2 linked regions of the Canis lupus familiaris genome follow. The protein of the gene in region 2 interacts with the protein of the main gene of each other region in a pairwise test. Links are inferred from orthologs where the notes say so. Each region holds a gene or a part of one and is shown on either strand. Other genes may lie near its edges.

What was found. The genes of interacting proteins can lie anywhere in the genome.
Region 1: the proteins of CEP44 (region 2) and H2AP interact in binary tests that used the Homo sapiens proteins (3 or more experiments, as listed by UniProt). The two-hybrid records come from large-scale screens. The link is inferred for Canis lupus familiaris from reciprocal best matches to the Homo sapiens genes CEP44 and H2AP.

What each region holds. Positions count from the first base shown.
Region 1 is NC_049260.1:32,883,290-32,885,901, reverse strand, and holds H2AP (huntingtin-interacting protein M), read right to left. Parts: upstream 1,172-2,612; 5' UTR 1,118-1,171; coding exon 752-1,117; 3' UTR 622-751; downstream 1-621.
Region 2 is NC_049246.1:24,948,097-24,952,455, forward strand, and holds the start of CEP44 (centrosomal protein of 44 kDa), read left to right. Parts: upstream 1-1,540; 5' UTR 1,541-2,068; intron 2,069-3,605; exon of another isoform or gene 3,606-3,922; intron 3,923-4,359. UniProt on the Homo sapiens protein: Centriole-enriched microtubule-binding protein involved in centriole biogenesis. In collaboration with CEP295 and POC1B, is required for the centriole-to-centrosome conversion by ensuring the formation of bona fide centriole wall.

The DNA.
Region 1 (2,612 bases), on a different chromosome or scaffold from region 2:
AGGCCAAATCACTTAACTTACCAGTGTCCACAGGAGAGGACACAAGGACATACTCCACAAAACGTTATCACAGCACTAATATTATCTGTCTTACATCCTTTTTTGGAATGAGGCAGGGTATCAGTGAATGAAATCAACCTGAGCACCGTTCCACTCTGTATACCTCTTCATGGGTTCCCCATCGCCCCTCAATCTTCACGTAAAGCTCATGCCATCAAGTTCACGTCAACTGCTCTGCCATCCTCTCCATCCACCCGCACTGCCATCACCTTCTGACTTCTACACGTTCCCTTCTCATGAATAAGGTTCCTGGCACCTCAGTCACGAGCTTCAGGACCTTCCCAGTTACCACCATGGTTCTGGGAACTCAACATGCCTGGGAAGCCCCCCACCCGCTGCCAATCTCTCAGCCCACAGGCCTTGACTTGCTCAGAGCCCATGAGGAAGTCTCTCCTCTGCAGCCAGCTACTCCCCCCCAGGGCCCAGAGAAACCCCTCCCTGAAACACTGGACTGTAGCCTCCCACACTGATCACCCCTTCCTCCCTCCACTCCCCACAGGAGATCTCCTCCTGGGTGTCTCACAGACCCCGCCGACTCGGAAGGACAGAAACAGAGACAAGTCAGAGGCATAGCCCTGAGCTTCAACACTTTAATAGCATTAACTGATGACAGAAGCCAGACTTCTCAGTTATAAGAAGTCTTGGCTTAGACTAAGGCTGTGAGGACTCCCACAAGTCTAGGACCCAGGCTTTAGCCATTTCTCCTGGATCTAGGCATCTCATCAAACAGAGTGAAGGCTGTATCCTTCAGGCATTGTTGGGGCTCTCTGTTGCTGCCCACTGCTCTCTCCACATCTTGTGGGGCAGTCTGCATGTTGTTGTTATTGGCCTCAGTGCCTACACGCTCCAGGATGTAGTCGGTGAGGGAGTCGAGCATGGCAAGGAGGAATTCAGTAGATGTTGAACTTAGGCAGTGGGTGCGCTGATCTTCCTGCAGGAGGCGGTCCACATAGCTCACAGGGAACTGCAGCTCAGTTGTTACAAGATGGGCTTGAGTCTGATTGGAGCTCTCATGGTTTTTGTTCCCTGACATGATGTTGGCAGGGTTTGGCTCCATCAGCTCTGCTTGATTCCCCAGCTGCACTGTGCCTCTCAAGACAACAGGGGTCAACCCCGCCCATTTATATTCCTAAGCCCTGGCCCCTCATTGTGACATCATAGACTTTGGGATGTCACTGGTGTCCACTGTGTCCTTATCAGGCCTCAGCCCAGAAATGTCCATGACAGGAACCTGGTCACCCTAATGAACAGACCCTGATTTTGAGAGAACTAGAATTTTCTGCTTGATTTTAACATTGTAGAGATCAATGTGTATTCCAATGGGAAACTTCCCCGTCTTAGGACATCACTCTACATTATCTGATTCTGGCCTTATATGGTCTTTGAGGCCTTTTACAATCCTTCATTAGTTGTAGGTTAGTGATAAATATGTAAAATGTATTGTCTAGTAGAGATTATATTGTCCCCCTTCCATGATATAATGAAACCAGTTTTGCCTCCATTCACACATGCATTTAAATATTTTTGATTAACATTCCTGTATCTAATCCTTGGATTCTCTATGAACCAGTTATATCCTCTTCCCATTCCCTCACTGATTAAATAGAATCTTTTAATACACGTTTATTTCATACCTGTATTAGCCTCTTCATTTTACACTGTTTGAAAAATATCTCTTGATCATTGTGGAAGTCATAATGAGATGCTCAATGGATGCATCTTTCAGAATCACGTAAACATTGTTTAGAGAGAGAAGTGTACTTTGCACTTAGTTTAAGTCCAGTTGTGTCTTCTTGGCTGTCCTAGATGAAGCCAAAGCACCAAGAGGTGTTTCCTCTCATTTTATTCTCATTTTTTAAGAAAAGTTTTTATTTATTTATTTGAGAAAGACAAAGAAACCGAGAGAGAGAAAGAGAGCATGAGCAGGGAGAAACCAGAGGGAGAAGGAGAAGCAGACTCCCTGCTGAGCATGGAGCCTCATGCCAGGGTCAATCCTAGGACCCTGAAATCACAACCTAAGCCAAAATCAGATGCTTAACCGAGTAAGCCACCCAGGCGCCCCATTATTTTTTTCTCATTTTAATTTCCCTTTCCACGAAGTTGGTGTTTCTGCTTTGTTTGGGGTTTATTTACAGCGGTAACAATTAAAGACATTTCCAATCCAAAAGAGAGAAGTAGCAGGAAGAAAAGAGTCTGATCCAAGCAATGTGGATCAAGCAGACAAACCTACATACATTTCAAGGTCTGGGAATAATATTTTGTAGCTTGTGGCTCCTTCTGATCCCATGACTTCATCTTGGCCCACAGCTCTGCCCTCTAGGCCCTCGGCTCTGTCCTCAAAATCACCTTCCTTTTATTTTGAATGGAACACATGTTTTCAGCTGAGTAGTTTTATCAGCCTGTTTTCCTCTTGTCAAATTTTGGGAGCTCCATGACCTTCTTTCATTTCATCTATTTTCTCAGTTAAAGATAGCATAGTTTTTGCTGATTTAGCATACTCAAAAATCTTGTAATTCCCCACCCCATACTACATGGGGATTTGTGCCCTTAGA
Region 2 (4,359 bases):
ACTCTCTATTCAATTGCTCATCCAGTGGGAAAGCAGCTACCATATTGTGGTAAAAGCCCATGTGGTGGAGAACCTAGGCCTATCAATCACTTGGAAGCAGATCCTCCTACCCCTCAGTGAAGCCTTCAGATGAGATCATAGTCCAACTGTAGGTTGACTACAAACTCAAAGACCTTGAGTCAGAGGCTCTCTACTAAGCTGTAACTAAATTTCTAACCCACAGAAACTGTGAGATAATAAGCCATGTTTATTTTTTTAAGCTGCTAAATTCTGGAGTAATTTGTTACCCAGCAATAGATATCTAATACAGTATCTCATCAGACAAATTATCAAAATAATTGGCAAAAAAATGGAAGTTTCCTATTCAACTTGAAAAACAATAACATTATTTCTTCATTCTCAGATCAATTGGCTCAATTTTGTACACCATTTTCTTAAAAATATGGTTTCAAAAATATGGTTACCATACTGCAAATATTAAAAAGGGAGGAGTAAAGCTGAAATGAAAAACATAAATCAGTTTCACTTTGTAGTAATAAAAATCATGATACATTGATTTGGAGGGAAACATCTAGGATCCTTGAAAAATAAAAATTCAACTTGTTAAATAGACTCCGTTGTTTAATGACTAACTGCTTACATAACCTAAAAATAAAAACAAAAAAAAACTTCAATGAGGATTGGGACTAACTTATGCAGTTTCGTGTAATAATATTTAATCGGAACACCCGCCATGGAAGAGAGTAGAGACCAGTCACAAAGAAAAACAAACAGACAAATTAAGAACCTGCCAAATCTGTGACATTTGAAGCACCGGGCAAAGCCATCATGATCTTAAGTAGAAGTGTTTGCATTCGTATCACTGAAAAGTAAGCAAAGAACCGAAAACTGCATATGCATCAAGAAAATACTCTATTTGAAAAGCAGCACTTGGGCTTGAAAAGAGTAACCTTTGCCATGTCTCAGCTTTATTTCATAGCGAGGCTGGGACACTCCCTGGGGTCCCAAGTTAACCTATACTCCAGTGGCCTAGAAACATAAGGACACACCCACTCCCGCCTCCTGGTACAGACTCCACATTTTAACAAGCCGCCGCGGCTGTCACTCAAGATGCTCTGCGCTGCCATTGGTCCCAAAGTCTTGCTGGTTGGCAAGTTTCTGCCAACTGGCAAGCACCGGTTGTCTTTATTCCCGAGAAGAAAAGTAAAAGTATGCAGAAGAGAGAGGCAAGAGCTCTGAAATATTTTGTACCTGAGCGACCTGCGATCCCCACCGCCGCCGCGACGAATCGGCCTCTGGGCGGGGGCTTTTAGTCAAAAAAGAAAATGGCTCAGCCAGGAACTGATGCCCAGGCCATGGAGAAGCCGGTTCAGACTTTACTCGTTCCCGCCGGTGGAGCTAACAGCGGCGAGAATGCCAAAAGCAGCGCAGGATCCCCCTGAACTCCGCGCACCTCAAGCTGCAGCAGGCAGAGCTGCCGACCGTCCGACTTTTTGACGTTTCCTATTGTTGCCGGAAGTGACGTTAGGGTTCTGAGCCTTAGAGAAGCCGCGTTTTTGTTCCGGGTATTTACGATTCGCTATAGATCCCCCGTTTCTCACTTCGTCCCCCGAGCTACTCTAAGCACTAACATTAGGCAAACTTTTAATCTGCAACTTGGGATCGGGCTGGCCATTGAAAAGCGCCTCGGCAGAGCCAGCGTCCTCGGGGGTCTGGACAAACGTGGTGTGGAATCTGCAGCGAGGAATCGTGAAGCACCGAGGAGCCGGCAGCTTTGAAGGTGTTGCCGCGGCGCGCGGCGGGCTTCCAGCCACTGTTGAAATACAAACGGTCGACGCGAGCCTCGGGCCGCCGCCGCTCCTCGCTGCTGTCGGCTGGGCTCCGGTGGCTCGCTCCGGTCGCCTATGCTGTCTCCCCCTGTCCCTGCTGAGCGGGGCGGGAGGCCTGCGGGGCCCTCCTCCGTGCTCGGCGGCTGCTGGGGAGGCTGGCGACGGCGCGCCCCGGGTTATGCAGGGGAAGCCTCTCTCTGCTGCCCTTTCCGAAACGGCGGGCGGGAGCGAATGACCAGGTGTGCCTTTTCATCCTTTTAAGTCGAACGGAGGGAGGGGAGTCGTAGAAGTGCCCCGCCTGTAGACTCCACCGGTGTGGCCTTCCTTAGGATAAAGAGCCAAGTAGGGCAGATCGTGGCAGCCAGCTCAGTTTAGGGTTAGGGTGGGCGAGTTACAGGCTGATTCCTTCACTTGGCAGCTCTGAGCTCAGGAAAGATCAGCCTCCTCCGAAATGCGGACTGGAAGGAAGAGGTGAAAAGCTGAGCGTTTCCCTTGCTTGCGTTTCCCTGGGTTTTCTGTATTTCTCCATCTTCTGGACAATTTAGGGTTTTTTGATTTTTATTATTTATTTTTATTTTTATTCTTTTTACCTCTCTAAGGGGAAAAAAAAAAAATCAGCCTTGGGCATTTTGATTCCGAAATTATGGGTACCCAAGACTGTTGCCCTAAAGCGACCCACAAATATTTTATATTCGTGAGCACTTTGTGAACATGGCAAGCCTACTGAGCTCCTTGCTCGACCCGCACCCTCTTTGTTTTTCTCCCAATATTCTCGGTGTTTTTCCTTTTCCAGACCTTTTCTGCGTATCTCTTAGACCAGTGTTTCCCCGAATATCTTTTGCGAAAATTTCGTAAGCTTAATTTTACCTCCTATTTTTGATAACGAGTTTTTGTTTGTGTGTGTGTGTGTGTGTTTTTAATAAAATCTAGTATTGTAAGATATGTCACAAACTCTTAGCCATGGACCGTAAGCATTAAAGTCCGTGTACCTGCTTCATTCTGAACAAAAATCACTCTGAGTTCAATGGCTTTCCATGGGGAGGCATCATTTAGGAACTCTGACTGCAAGGAGACTGAGCTAGATTAAAAATCATAAACTGCTATTGTATTCCGTTTTCACGGCGTCTCCCCCAATAGTATATATATATTTTAAAAGGTTGGTTGGTTTATCTATCTATCTATCTATCTATCTATCTATCTATCTATTTATTTATTTATTTATTTATGATAGGCAGGCAGAGACACAGGAGGAGGGAGAAGCAGGCTCCATGCAGGGAGCCCGAGGCAGGACTCGATCCCAGGTCTCCAGGATCAGGCCCTGAGCCAAAGGCAGGCACTAAACCACTGAACCAGCCAGGGATCCCCGCGTCTCCCCCAATAAAAGTAGTTAGGCAGATCTGACTTGTGGAGATACCTCTCCGGAGGATGCTAGGAAGCAATATTGAGTACACCGTAATGGTTGGAATCTATGTTACAAATAGTTCTCCTCTTCATTTCTTTTGATAAGGGTTATAAAGTGAAAACATTAATCAAGCTTAAAAAAATTACAAGTTATTTTTCATTTCTGCAGGTACTGTGCTAATAAAATGCACATAACTTGTAGATTGGCTTCTACAAGTCATAGAATACTTTAATTTTAGTATTTTTCAGTTTTGTAATATATTTAGCAAAGTCTTTCATGAAAATGTAGAACAGTAGCTGTCATTTTTTTGTATGATACTCACTTTTATCCCTTTTTTTTTATCCTGTTTTATTACTTATCTCCTTCACCTGCAGATTCAACCTGTACTTGTATCTTACCCTTCTTCAAAATATTTGTTCTGCTGATATGGAAGAGGATGTGTTCCAAGGACATACTTTGTTGTCAGAAATTCCATTATCAGAGGTAGAAATCTGAGACATTGACATATGTTCCAGGACTTCAGAGGAAGGAAAGATACCACAAAGTATTAAACAAAATTACATGTATTAGAAGCATGGAATATACATTTGAAAGAATTAAAGGAAATCTATGGAGAGATACACAATTTATATAAAAGTTATAGAATGCCTTAGATGGAAAAGGTACCCCTAGAAGAATCATATTAAGATAGGTAGGTCTGGAACGTAATACAATACTATATTGGCTAGTGGCAGTACCTAAGAATATATATTTTTTTGCAGTTACAACCAGATTAGTTCCCATTTCATCTCCCAGGGAAGTAAGGCTGGTCTTGGGAAGCCCTCTCTTACTGTTTCCCTATGTCCATCTATCACCTAGTCATCCTAAAAGGTGTTAAATAAGGTCTATTTTCTTGGCCAGTATTTTGTATAATGTGATTTCAGAATCACTCCCTCTTTTTCTAGTTATCTTCCATTTGGCAGTACCTGAAATTCCTTCTGCCTAAAAAATGTAAATATTTAGAAGTAATTGATTAACTGAAAAATACTAAAATCCATGCATGTTTATAAATTATATTCAATAACCTGTTCTTTACCATATCCCTAAAGGAGAACAGTCTTGGAACAGCAAGATACTATGTTCCTAAAA